Drosophila melanogaster: one gene and its partner. The protein of the gene in region 2 purifies or fractionates together with the protein of the main gene of each other region. This does not show direct contact. Each region holds a gene or a part of one and is shown on either strand. Other genes may lie near its edges.

Evidence for each region. The genes of interacting proteins can lie anywhere in the genome.
Region 1: the proteins of dpr10 (region 2) and cDIP purify together in Drosophila melanogaster (affinity purification with western blotting; 2 studies listed by BioGRID). This does not show direct contact.

What each region holds. Positions count from the first base shown.
Region 1 is NT_033777.3:21,156,813-21,164,051, forward strand, and holds cDIP (common Dpr-interacting protein), read right to left. Parts: upstream 4,281-7,239; 5' UTR 4,243-4,280; coding exon 2,578-4,242; 3' UTR 2,426-2,577; downstream 1-2,425. Other genes in the region: CG5810 (uncharacterized protein), read left to right, coding at 6,978-7,239.
Region 2 is NT_037436.4:10,181,537-10,189,319, forward strand, and holds the start of dpr10 (defective proboscis extension response 10), read right to left. Parts: upstream 4,573-7,783; 5' UTR 4,389-4,572; intron 995-4,388; exon of another isoform or gene 980-994; 5' UTR 747-979; coding exon 707-746; intron 1-706.

The DNA.
Region 1 (7,239 bases), on a different chromosome or scaffold from region 2:
GGCGATCAGCTGTTACGCATACAAACAAACACATGGCGTCGCTGGAAAGAGCGACAGAAACGTTTTGGAAATTTTCCACGGACAAATACTTTTATTTGCCCAGATTTGCTATTCTTCTGTTTTTGTTCCTTGTGTCAGTTTCTAGCTGTGTTTCGCGCAGTAATGGTTTAGATTCTTAATAAAAAGTGGCAAACACAACAACGTCCTGCTGCTCCTCTTCTTCTTCTCACCCCTTCCATTGTCCGATCACTGCGTGTTCCAATTGGAAAGTCGAGTCCAAAGTGGAAGCGCGCGCCCGAATAAATTTTCATTTTGATTCTTGATTTTTATGGCTCGCATTCTTTGCTTTTATTAAGATCGATTCGGTTGTTGTTGCTGGTGTTTTCGTGTTTTGTGATTTATTTGGTGTTGAACCAAATGGCTGATAATTAGCCGAGTGAAATGAGTGCTGTAATCTAATCTGAAAAGTCAACACCTCGAAAGTGTTTGGACATCCAGCGAAAAGTCGTCATTATAATTTCGCTCTAATCTCTGAATATACACTCATAACATATATATAACATATAATGCGCCAACACAACCAGCTAATTCGTTACGTCTCTTCTTATTTACAATAATTTCTTAGCGCAGCTAAATGCCTAATCGCGAAATTGTTTACAAAAGTTTTGTTTTCCACCCGTTCAGGTGAACGTGAATGTGTGTTAGTGTGTACGTGAATGTGCGGATGTGTGTATGCGTTCCTGTGTCCGTGAAATTAATTTTTTAACCGAAATTCGACAATTGTGATTCTGCAATCTGCCAGCGCGAATCAGAAACATCCAATTACTGATAAAAACACACAAAAGGTGGGTGACAATTTATTTTCTTTTTATAATTATCGAAAACCTGATTTACTTCACTGCCTTTATTTTCTTTTTGTGTTGATATGAGCGCTTGACGTTTGATTTTCCCCGAAACTTTTCATCTGCCTTTTGTGTCGGTGACTAAGTTGAGTGGGTGGGAAATTCCCCCAGTTCGCGGCGACGCTGGGAAAATACCCAAAATCGCCCAAAATTTTTTCATAATTAGATTTTCAGAATGTGTAAACAATTTTATTAAATTTTTTTATATTTAGAAAACATTTAATAAAAGCGATCAATTATGTAATAGATAGTGTATAACAGTATCAATAACAGGAATAACAGTATTAAATCAGGCAATGTAAAATATAATAACATAAAACAATTCAAAGGGTCTTACCTGAATTCTTCATACGACTTTTTTTTGTCGAAACTCATTTGAAGTTATGGTTATAAAATCGTGAGTGGATTTCTTTAAATGTAAAAGTACCCTATCACGATGCCTACTACATTTTAGACATTGACTAATTAAGTAAGCACACTTCAAGCGAATGCCCAGAAATTAAAAAAAGATAGCTACTGAAGTTGGCAATCAGGAAATGTCGAACTTTGATCTGCGGATACAACTACTAGAAGTCGCAGATAGTCAGTCGCACTATATGGTAAAATTGAATGTTCGCACTTACAGCTGCCACGATTTGTGTGCCGCCAATTACCTTAAAACAAAAATTGCACTGCCAATGTAAACAAAACGTATTTGAAACTCGTGTTCGAATGGATATACATATGTATGTATGGATTTATTCCTAATCACATGCACACGATACTCCGGATCAGCAGATCGACCAGTGATCGTCGAGATCCGTGAAATTGGATTTGTTTCTACTTTCCGTCCTTACGAAGTGGCTGCACTGAAATCGAAACTGTTTGTTTATCTTAGCAATTAGTTAGCCATAAATGTGCGAGTAAGCGAATAGAAGGGATAAAGCATAAATAATTAAAACTGTTCGCATTAGCAGATGGCAATAAAATAACTCGGTTTCTGGTCCATTCGATCGAATTCAATATTGTTGTTTAGTTTCCGAAAATATTGGTTTTGTAATTGACTTGACTTTGTTCAATTCAACTCAAGTTCCCCGAGCCCCACCATCTTGTCTTCGCCCTCCAGTTTTCTTCTCGTTTTTCCATTTTGGTTCGCCAGCCCGAGTTGAACGAACCTCTTTCAATATCTTTCAGAAAAAGAACCCAACTTTGCTTTGCTCGAAAATCAATATTATTGTTTAAATATTATTCTACGTATACGACACAGCGAGCAATAAATATTTACTAGATGTGCTCATGTTGCAAATTGTATTGGTTTTTTGGGGTTGAGTATGCAAAATCAGCAGGGAAATGGAGCAGAAATTGTTTTCGAGATTAGGAATTGAATAGGCGTAGAAAAAAATGATATTCTAGGAAACTAAATCTTAAACAAAGACGAAAAGCCTTCCTGTTTTGTTAGATTATGGTTCCAACTTTGTATATTATCAAGAACTGGTAAAAAAAACATACACGCGAATTCTTTAGTGGAATTCTTCCAACAATTTAAAAAATGATTTATTTATTGGATCGAAAGATTTTATGTTTAAAATTAAGAAGCTTTAGGAAATACTTCAAATATTAATTATAATGTATACATATAATTGTAAAGCTTTGAAAATGTAGTGATCACATAAAAAATGGGCCATATTTAACAACTTCAAACGGACAAGGTCACTTGACTCCAAACAGTTTTGTTGAGCACTTCAAAGGCCTGAATTTGTTCATTCAATTGGGCCAGTTTACTGAATATCAAATCGAACTTGGAATCAAAGTGCTGCACCACTGCTTTCAGTTCATCGCGCAGTTTGTCCACCTCGCTGGGATCAGAACTACTTGTTATGGGCGAGGACTCTACGCTGGCGGAGATTTCCGAAGAGGAGGAGGAGTCCACACCCTCTTTTTCGGGCAAGCGATACATGCAGGCTATTCCGTGAAAGTATTCCCCCGGAAAATCGGGATCGTAGTTATCCACGGTATAGGCAATGCCATTGGCACGAATGAGCACATCCATTATGTTTCTCAGGCTGAAGCAGTTCCAGTTATTTCCATGAATATAGAAGTGCGTTAGTTGCGTGAGCGTGGGGAACGCGGATGGATCGATTTCCGTCAAATTATTGCCGGATATGTCAAGTTTCTGCAAATTTTGCATACCCTGCAACGCCTCCAGCGGCAGTTCCATCTGGCCCGTATTCCGCAGCACCAGCATCTCCAGATGTGGCGTCCGCCAACCGTCGGGCAACTGACCCAGGTTCGGATTGTCCGCCACATCCAGGTGCCGGAGTCTGGGCACGCGGCTCAACGACGCCAGCTGAACCAGCGAGTTGTTGCGCAGCACCAAATGCTCCAGTGCCTCGGAGGCGGGAAAGTACAGCTCGCGCACGCGATTGTCGCTCAGATCGACATTCGTCACCGATCCGTACAAATTGACACGGTCCAGCGAGCAATTGCGAGCGGTCAAATTGGTGGCGTTAATGTTCAGCAGTAGAACGACCAGCTCGGGGTTATTCGATAGATCCACATACTGCATCTGATGGTGTCGTCCGCGGGATCGAAAGGCATACTCGCCCACCTCTCGCAGTCGATTGTTCTGCATTGCGACCGACAAAAGGTCCGGATTGTGGGCAAATAAATCGCTCTCAATGGTGGTCAGTTGATTACCGGCCAGTCCCACGTGCCGCAGACTCTTCAGTCCGGCAAATACGTCCGCGGCTAAAGCCTCCAGGCGATTCTCTGTGAGATCCAGGTACTGTAATTTCAGGAGATTATCAAACGCACCCGCCTGCAGTTTGCCTAGTTTGTTGCGATTCAGGAAGATAAACTCCAAGTTTCCTGCTCCCCTGAAGGTTTTCGTGGGCAGCACTTCGATGTGATTATCGCTGAGCAGAAGAATCACCAGCTTATCCGCACCAATGGAGAAGTTCTCCCAGTAAATGAAGCGGATGCCACAGCCGCGCATGTCCAGCTCACTGACCTCTAGTGTGTAAAATAAGCGCAGGGGAAAATTGGTGAAGGTGCAGTTCTCGAAGATCAGGGTTCGCGAGTGCTCCTCATCGCCCACTTCGTAGGTGGTGCCATCCTCGGCAATCCGCACCTCCGTTGGCAGATCAAAGGTGGCCTTCTCGTCCTCTCCCGCAAACTCAAAGCCCCTGCAGCTGGTCACCTTGCCCTCCGTCTGGCAATGACCTTCCAAGCTGGAGACCAGCACTATTCGGGATGAGCCACTATCCACATCAGCATCCGCGTCCTCATCCGTAGTAGCTGTGGCCGCCAATGAGATCAGCAAATAGCTGCAGAGGAACGGCAGACAATTCCGGACGTACATTTGGCGTGCTCCACGATTCACGTTCGACCTGAAACTGATTCCAAACGTTGACCGCCAAACGCCTGGCCAGATAAGCTCCTCTATAATGCTCAAATAACGATCATCAGTTCTATATAATTGCCATCCCATTCTATTCATGGTGTTCTGATTTTGCGAAAATAAATATGGTTCATCTGTGGCGGGTACAGCGCATTTCGAAAATGTAAGGCAGGGTTTTTTTCTTTTTTTTGAAATCGGATTGAAATACTATTTCTATTTCGAAGAATTGAGATGCTTTGGAAATCACTGCTGACTAATTAATAGATTTAATTACAATTATTTGTCTGGGAACTCCTTTTAAAAGAAATTAACATCTTTTGCTGTACGAGAGAGATGAAAATCGGTTTGTTTTTTTTTGTACCTATCATTATTTTGACACTTGTCTGTGCTGCTTTTCCGTTTATTATTCATGATTTTTTGCTGCTCTATGGAAGTTCTCGCTCTGTTGGCTCCATTCAAAACTCACAGACTTTGAAAAAAAAAACAAAACTTTGTACAATATCTGTGGAGCAATTCCCACTCATTTCCAGTGTGTTCTCTTATCATGAAGTGTTTACTTAGCGATTTGCTGAACAAAAGGTGGAAATCTCTTTTGGCTGCTGATAGTGGACATGAGGCCAGACATTCGCCCATTTTTATGTAAGAGTATTTTCATTGGGGCCCATCCATCTTTGGCTTTTACCATCGAAAATATAGGCGCGTGGAAACGTTGCTTAAAATACCTTCTATATAATTTACACAACAGCCATTTAGCATTTTGTTGGCACTGCCTTGCGTTGTGTAGTTTTGCTGATGATTGCCCGAATGACTCATTATTTATCAGGCGAACAATTCAGTGGAGGGCATTTGAGTTTCGGTTTGATAAGAGCAAACGAACTTCCGTTAACTACTTTGTCGTCTGCATTTATTCCTAGTCTTATTTTTAAAGCAATCAGGCAAGAATGTAGGCACCTTTACACGAAAAACATTCGTAAATATAGCGAAACCAGAACTTTCGCCTGCGAAGCGGTGACATGTCCAGTGGAAAAATGTGTAAAATATTTAGCCAATTATTTAGCCAACATGCCAGCGGTTTTGAGAACACGTTCAACCTGCTTTCTCAGTCGTTCAATTTGCCAGTTGCAGCTTAGCGGGCGAAAACAAAAAGATTATGACAGGTAGAGCCTTATTAATTTGTATGCAAACAAATTTATACGCTTGTTGAAATGTTAAAAATTAATTTTCCATTCGTTTGCGTTGGGATTTTCTCGGCTTTGGCCGCCTGGGCAAACAAACAATTTGAATATCGATGGCTAATTTTTTTCACTTTATGTATTCACAATTGATCTGCCTGTTTGCATTGGGCTTATTATGAGCCAATGGCTTTTAAATTACTCGACTCAAGACGACTTTTGTTCTTTGCATGGCATTTGCCATAGCTGTATCTGTATCTATTGTAGCTGTGTATTGTATCTCAATTGAAACGGCATGACTTCGTTTAGCGTCTTTTTTTCACTTTTTCGCCTGTGCCCCCTTTGTTGAATTCAATTTGCCGCAATTACTTTGCATACAAGTTTCGAGAAATAAAAAAAAAAAAACAAAGAGTGAAAATTACCAGGCTTTTATTCTGTCGAGACTTTGTCCCCGCCGTCTGTACTTTATTCAAATCAAATTCGCCCAATAGTTTAGCAGTGTAAACAAATGCGATATAGAAATATATTAAATCAGAACATATAGCGCACCATTTTACGCCTCTATTGTGGGTGCTTTTATATGGCGCCGTCGGTTTATGGCACTTGATTTATTTCATTGGGTTTATTGGTCATTCGAACGCTAAATGCTCAGGATATCCAAAGGTTGTTCCACCCATCTGACTGCAATGATGACGCAACTAGATGGTGATATAACTGGAAAATGAGCTAATTGCCATTCAAATTGGCAAGTTTATGTCCAAGTGCTTTTGTAAATTTGTTCTAAGGCGGAAATGCTTTCAATAACTATGGCTTTATAAATAATATCCAATTTTTTGCTACGAAACAAGTTAGTTTATATCAGTGTAGACTGATTTTATGAACATATTTATAGCTTAATTAGATGCAGCAAATGCGGGGAAATACATTATTCGCTTTAAAGATAAGAAATCAAGCTAAGAAAGTGAAGATAGTTAAGATAGTTAAAGTTTCAATCGAAACCATATGCAGTCCTTAGTCCATCAAAAGATATTAATCTCAATTAACTGCTGTAAACAATTCCCATGATTATCAGAGCGACAGGCCAGACGTAATGTAGCCATACATTGGCTTACTTTTGCAATGGCAATACATCGTCCACAAAACAGCAGCCATTCCATATCAGTTGGCACAACTGGGCCATAAACTATAAACCATAACTACGAGTATGTGTTATGAAGTGGAGGATCGCGAGATCGTGCTTATCGGCCGGGTATTATGACAAAAGCCTGATAATATTTCCCAGCGAATCGTAGAAGCAAAAACAAAGCAAATATATTCATTGAGAGGAACAATAAAATTTTATTGACAAAAAATCGAACCAGATTGTGGAGGGGGTCGACAGAAAAACAAACAAACAAACTAGCGCCTAAAGACCTGTTTTCGCTTTTTTTTGTTTTTTTTTTTGGCTGGTTTCTGAAGGTTGTGTTCTGGTTTTGTATTAAAATGCCCCCCAAGCCAAAAATTGCTCAGTCTTTTAAAGCCAAGATGCGGATGCTAAACTATCTGAACTATATTTTAATCGCTGTGATTGCTTTTGCGACTTGTGAGTCACAAAAACTCGAGGAAATTGCAATTGATAGTTTGGATTGCCGCGAAAATACGTGCACGAATTTGAAATACCCTTCTGCTTCAGCAGTTGCCTACTTCTCAGAAAATGTGACTAAACATTTGAGAAAGTACGAAACTCTCGTTCTTCACAGCTCCGATTTGGCCAATTTGCCGAGAAAAATCTTTTTGAACCTTCCTC
Region 2 (7,783 bases):
GCATAACCCTTAACCCCTCATTCCTCACCGGAGCTGCTGTTATGCGATATGCCCTTAAAAACGACCCCAAGCGACCAGCAAGCGACCGCATTTGTTTGCTTTGGCTCCGCGTTGGTCTCTCAATTTTACACTGAGAAAAATATAAGCTTAATTTTATCCGAAATTGAAATATATTTTATATACATATACATCGAAATATTTATAATGTTTGTTTTTGTCACAACTATTTAAGTATTTCTTAAAAGATCAAAACTGTATGTGCCTATTTCAGTTCAAAAGAAGTGTTATCAATTAATAATATTAAAAATATATGGTTGTAGTTAAGAATTAATAGTAAGTTATTAAAAAGTTATTATTTGATCAGTTCAGTACTAGACTTTCCTCTGCGTGTACCCATCGCTTTCACTGCTCCTGCTGCGGTTGGCAGTGGCCATGTCAGAACAGCAGCACAGGATTGCAAGGACAACGCAGCAGGCAGAAACATAAATCAGGATTTTCGCAGCCCGAACCACAAATGTTTTTAAAAGGATTCAGCGCCCGGCGAGGCGGCAACAATAACAACCTTGAGCGGGTTGATGGAGGCCTATATTGTATATGTATATAATAGGTATATATATTGCTGATAATCTTATGCATGCTTAAGCAGACTGCGCTTTATGGGATGAGTTGTGTGTGCTGGCAGGATCCTGTGGGGAATTTGACTTACCCGTCAGGCAGCAGAAAAGTGCCGTCCACAGGGTCAACATCTTGCGATGACCCACTCGATTTGTGGTTATTTTTTAGGGCTGCAGCAACAACCTTTGCACTCTGCTTCAAATTCTCCTTCGATTCTTTTTTCTTTCACTTTATCAGGCTTGCCTTTGTCCTATCAATTCGCACTTGGCTTTGCGAGTTTTGATCTACGGCAATATATGTTTGTTTTGAACTCGTTTTTTTCACTCACAACACTTTTTTAAGTCTTCCTTTCTATTAGCTTCATCTACAGAGAGAAAAACTATAAGTCGCTTTAAAACATGCTTGCGTTATTAGCTTTTATTACAATTATTACAAAAAAGGTTGAAGATTGCTATTCCTACAAAAATTATCTTCAATTTTTGTAAAATTAAAAAACGTTATAAAAGATAGTTCTACACAGCGCAATAAATATAAATTAAGACTGTAGCTTTGTATGCAAATTTTTCTCTCTGCAATTGCGCCTGTTTTCAATTTTCTCTTTTCGTTTCGCGTGAATTAAACACTTGCAATGACATTTAAAACACTTAATATCAATGGCAGACAATTTAATCCTTTAACGTTCGTTTGTTGAACTTTTTCAGAATCGTCCTTGTTGTTTTTCGTCCTTGTTGCTGCTGCCGCTGTTGTTGCTGCTGCTTGTTGCAATTGCAGTTGCACTTGTGTTTGCTCTTTTGGCTCGTCCTAGGCCGAAATAATATTTTTTGTTGCCCGACTCGTTTCGCATTTCCATGGACAACTTTTTATTTTCATTCCGCCTGGAACGTACCCAAAAAGAATTGATTTTCGTCTGGGGCTAAAGAGCTTTAAAAGGAATTTCATTTGTCCGGGTCTCGTTGTTTTTTTTTTTTCGTCGCATCACCCTTGATGTCGTGGAACATGAATTGATTAAATTTGTGTTGATTTTAGGGCTGATAATGGATAATAACAGACTTTAATGGATAATAAACTATGGTAAAAACAAGGATTTTCTCGAAGAGATTCTAGAAATTCTGCTAACCAATAAAACAGCTCTTTCTCTAAGCAATCCACTATTGATTTCAATAGGTGAGTGGCCTAAAATGGAATCCTTTTCCCTCTCCATGAGCGCACAAAAGTTTACACCACAAATTAGAAGAACATTACACGCCCAATCCAGTTTCCCTTGAAGGACATGCTCACATCATACAATTAATAATGGTTAATGCATAAACCAGAATCAATTTTTGACAGAAGTTGGATTGAAGTGTCTCTGGTCAGCTGCCCTTGCATATTTCATTTCCTAAAACTTCGGTGGCATGTGTCCGGATCCGAAAATAATTCAACGCCCCCACGACCCCAAAATTATGAGTCGTTTTTGGAGAACTGTTCAAAGCAGTAACGCCCCATTTTCCGGCTGAGGCTATTTTCAGACCTGCTGCCATCCATCCATTCACTTTGGCATCAATCAATTGCCCTGCCCAGGGGAAAAACTTTTATGCTACTCGGGCACTTCTCCTCACATCTAATTTGTTAAACATTTGCTGGGGAATTGCCTTTTTCACACGCCCCTTGAAACACGGTGTGTGTTTTCCTTTCGAATTTTTCCCTCTTGCACTGTGTGAAATTAATTAAAACTTAATTAATTGCAAACTCCGCTGCACCAAAGAGACGACAGACAGACTAATGAGTAGGGGGATGGGATTAAGGTCTGAGTTCAACTGCAGGACTCATTCGACATGCTGAGAAAAAATTAATCAGCCGGTACAGTGAAACAATGGAAAGATTTTCGCATGAAACAATGGAAACTAATTATGTATAATGGAAACAATTGAATAAGATTTTGTATAACAATTATTTAGATTTATTGATTAAAAATAAACAAATATTATAAAAGGACTTCAAAAAAGAACTTCAAACAATAAAAAATTTATGAATCATCAATGCACAAACTCTTGCCATCATAAATCATTGATATAAAATATACATTTTAATGCAATATTGCTAAGCAGCTTATACGATATCTCATGTATATATTTTAAAAAATATATAGTTTTAAAGCAAATCCTTAAAAAGGATCTGATCCCTGATCTCTAATTTTTTTGCCTGCAGAAACCTCTGTGTGCGACTTCAATCAGAAGTGGCTGCTGCTGACATGCTGCTCCTGTTGGGAATCCTGGCTGGAATCCTTGGCCACTTGTCACTGTTGCCTCCGTAATGGAATTAGGGAGGGGCCAGGGGTTCCAGAATGTGCGAACCAGGAGGGCCAGGTTCTCGAGGGAAGGATTCGGGATTCAGGGACGGAGTCTGAGACTCCTGCCAACGTCAGCAATGTCTCTCAAAAGTGTTAACGCACTCAATTGCTACTATTCCCATCTCCTTCGTTGCCACTATCCCCCCTCTCTTTCTGAGAGTCCTCTTGCCACTCTTTCTAATTGTAAGCGTCTGCATTTTGCCTCTCAGCTTGGGGGCAGTGTCTGCTCTAATGTTTAGTAACTGTGATTAGGAGGCAACTCTAGTTCCGGGTGGGCTTAATTTGCCCTACCCACACCCACCCAATGCCCGTGGGCAATCTTTGCTTTTGTTTCTGCCCCATTGTGTGCCGGTTAATTCCTGCTGTATGAATATTTTATTGAGAAAGGGTTTCACATTTTATTGGCTACATGGCATTATGTGCGAGAACAAAGAAAGGAAACAATTTAATTGTGTTTGGGGATGTCAGGCAAGGATTGCACATAAGCTCGTGGCCTCAAAAGTTGATACCACAACACAATGGTGCTGGGGCGGGCAAAAGTAAAATCGTTGAAAAGCCAAAGTGCTTGGCACTCGACAAAACTTTTCCATCAACAACTGCAGTTGAGACAAGCGAAAGTTTTTTCCCAAGGAAACTTAATTTTCCCCAACAGCCACAACATCTTATCATACCCATACGAGAGATATATTTCGGTTCTTGCGGCGACGCACATTGCGCATACGCACTGTGATCAGTCTGTCGTAAATTTCAATGCACACTTGTTTTCCGTTAATATTTTATGGGTTTTCTATTAATTTTTGTCACATTCTTTTAGTGTCTCCCCTCGGCCGGAATATTAGATTACACAGAAATGAATGTATTAACGCTCGATATTTGTGGCAGCGCTTTTTTTGTTTTGACGCAGATCAAAGATGGTTTGGTTCTGTTTTTTGTTTGGCATTTGTGTGTTGTTTTAATTTGTTAATTTGTATTTGGGGTCTGGGCTCCCCTTTGGCGGTCTAAATATAAAACAACTTAATTTGCTGCATGCTAATGAGATGGCCAAGGGGCGGGGCTGGAGGACGTTGTGTGGGCGTTTAACACTTTTATAATTTGTTTGTCCGCAGACAGAATTCTTTTCCTGCATTTTTTCTGGCCCCACATTTGGCAAGCAGCTGACACGCACCGAATTTCGTTAGATTTCTGATTACTTTTCTTTTTTAGGTGTATAATTTTTGGAGACGATGTCGTAAAATATTCGCGTGCCGAAAGCGTTTTAGCTTAACAATAAGAGCAATAGCAGCAACAGCAGTAACAGTAACTGGAATAACAAAAAAAAAGCGACAAAAGGTCATTCAATTTTCGACTGCCGGCAATGGGGCAATGAGGCTTTTCCTGCGTTTTCACACGTTTTCCAAAATTTACGACCCAATTGTGCCCGCTTTTCTTATCCGTTTGCACTCACACTCTCTAGCCTCGAGTCACAGAAACACACGCACATGCACACACACACACATACACTATAGTCCGGAAAATGTCGCGCCTCACGTATTTGGGCCTCACATTTCCCTCAACTTTTTATTCGGATTTTCACGCGCTTTTCCGCGCCTTCGCCTTTCGTTCACCGTCGATGTCGCGCTGAAACTGAAACAGAAACTGAAACTGATTTCTGGCAGCAGTGGAGCATTTGTTGGGGCCTCCGGGGGGGATTCCCGAACTCATACGAGCCTTTATCAGCGACGCTTCGGGTTTGTTGTCTTCGGCTCGGGAAAAGTCGTTGGAAAAGAGGGACGGAAAAATCGTGTGCCGAGCATTTCAGCTGAATTCGCCGCATTTATCTCTCTTAATTTCCTCTTCTCTTTTAATCACAACACTATGTTCACTTTCAAGGTCTTACAATAAAAGGTTTCAAATAGTTTTGGAAATCCGCGATTATTTTTTTAGTGGCAGCAGGGTGTTTTTTGAGGTCGAATTATGTTCGCAAAGCAAATAAAAGCGGACTTTACGATCCTGTTTTTAAGGGGTTAAGTTAATTTTAATGCAGTGAAGTTAAGTGACACGTAGGGATTCCAGTTCTTAAAAGCAGAGTAATATTTCAGTTTATGTTTCAGCTAGAGTGCTTTATTATAGGTCTCTTAAAAAAAAATAATCTAAGCCATTTTAGTTGAAACTTGAAATAAAAAGAATTAATCCGGTTGAGGGAGTGAAGGATCATAAAAAGAACATAATCACTATAGCAAAACCCAAAAACAACATAATGTCTTATTGATCCCATTTATTTTTTACTTGCTTATATGCTTACTTAACTGAATTTAGGAAACTATGTTATTTCATATACTTCCATAAGATCCTAAGTTCAATTTTAATAAATGAGAAAAGTTATAATATTTTTCCCAAGAACATATTCATTTATTTTAGATAATTTAATATTAAATTATCATTATTATATACGCTTTGTGCATGCTACGTTCTCATTTATTTATATTTAGGTACTTCGTCTCTATAAGGGAAGCAAACCGTCTGCCTTGGACAATATCTTGAGCAAGACTGACAGACTTAGGTCAGTATCAAAGAGAAATTGTATGGAATTTGGCAAAGAGTGCGCATGCACTGAACAATTCTTTGGTGCTCTTAGACTAGCTCTTCCACGATTTAACAGCGAATTGGATAATATGGCCAGAAGGCAGGGATTTCAATAATATACACTGAAGCTGGCACAAAAAGAGCTAATGACAATATAAATTCGCGCGGCGTATGGATATGCGTGGCAGATGGGAAACTGTGTAGCCGGCTAAGGGATTTCCCGCTCTTTGAAGGGAATGCGGTATCGGGATGATGAAAATCCGGGAAAAGTGGCGGGGTGCAAGCCAGCTGACAGCAGTTATCGCTGGAGCGAAAGGCAGTAATTAGCGTAAATTGAGTTGGTAAAAAGCGCAAGTGTTCAAAATCCACCCACTCAGTTGTGTGACACCCGCACCACCACCCCACATGCCTAGAACCAGCCAAAAACCTCGCCTGCGGCCTTGGGCTTTAGTTGTCCCTTGTTTTTGCGGCTGCTTGTGCTGCTGTGCTGTTGTTGATTATGTGGCAATTAGTTGTCGCTTTTGTGGCAAGCCACGCGGCACTTTCAATCAGAGCATCTTATTCCGACAGCCACATAATGCCCATCCAGGTGGGGCTTAGTGAGCTAATTAAACAAGCCGATTATGGCCCGACATTCCGCTGACCTTGGCCACCTCATGCTGCCATTCAGCATCCACCACCCGCTGTGAGTCCATCTCGGTAAAGTTTACCACAACTCCTAACCAACTCGAGCGCAGAACATTTCTCCAGTTATCAACTTTCTGCACATATTGTCAGAGGTGTTTAAAAGTCTGGGTCACTGTGGGGTTAAGTGGGCGTCGGGGATTCCGGGGGGCGTGGCAGCAGTCTGATGAGCGGCATTCGCTACTTGCTCGGTATTAGAAACTTTGCGAAAAGGCAAAAAACCAAAAGTTTCCAATTTGGTAGCACAGAAAATATTGTTGCAGGAATTTGCTTAACTCCAACTCGACGAATAAAAAATGCACTTCAGAAATTAGGATAAAAATGTAAAACGAAAAAGTGGAAGATATTTCCTAGTATTTCTAGCTTCAGTTCTTGGCTCTTAAAAGCACTTAAAAATAGTTCTAAAATGATTAATGAAGTTCGGTGAAAGCAAATCTTTATTTTACAACTGATTGGCAAAGTAGTTTCAATTTACTTTAATTTCCGCCCAGATCTCCACACATTTGGCAACCTACAAAACATTTACCCTAGCTCAACAACTTGGGGCAAATTCAGTTCATTTGCCAAGCAAAAATTTTATGATTTATGAAAATGTTCTACGTATATTTCTGTTCTCCTCCACTTTCAAATGGCAGGGGCGTGCTGCCGCCCACATTGTAATACAATCAGAATCTGGCTTGGAATTAAATCTGCTAACCGAGTTATTGCGCTCGAAGAGGTAGGGTGATGGCGGGGAATAGAGGTTCTGTTCTGGGGCATTGTTGCATATTCAACAATTGCCACTGCAAACCGACGAAGTAATAACAAATGCAAATTTTAAGCTCAAGAATTTTCGTTTTGCAAAAATTGTGTACATATTTTTTTTTTTGCTCATATTTTACTTATTTGTGCTTTTTGCCATGGGCAACAGCAGGCAAAAGTGTAAATGAGTTTTGCTCGGCCCTCTCTTCCCCCGACAATTGAATTTGTTTAAATTGTTGCCTGCTAAATTTCTGAGGGAGCAGCGGAATCGCATCCATGCATCAGCAATCAGGAATGGGGAGATCCACTAAAACTTCAAATAGGACACATTGTCCTCCTCGCTGAGAGCCAATATAATCAAGCGGCAGCAGCTGGCAAAAAATGATGTGGCATTGTGGGGGTATGTGTGGGATGCACTGCAAAAAAAGGCGAGTAACAGCACTTGCTAATAACTATTTGTTAAATATATTGGAGTTAATAGATTTAAAGATAAGCTTAGGACTTTGAATGGAATTTCGGTGGAATTGGGATCAATTATTTATATTATATATTTAAGTATTTATTTTATCTGTATGGGTGGGGACTGGTGCTGTTGGTGGGCAGCAGGCTGCAGGACTTGGGCACTGATGAGTTCACTTCAGTGAGCAAATGAAACGATATTGTTGTCAATTTAGGTGCAACAAAGAGCAGCAATGCGTCCCGTCTCTTTCCATCCGCCGGCAGACAAGGACAAGACAAAGCAAACAGCATGCATGATGAGCGAGCGAGAGCGAGAGGGAGTCATGCGGGCCAGCGGTTGTCGGAGGGGGAGAGCGATAGCTGGCGTAACAACAAAGGCAAACAACAACAAAT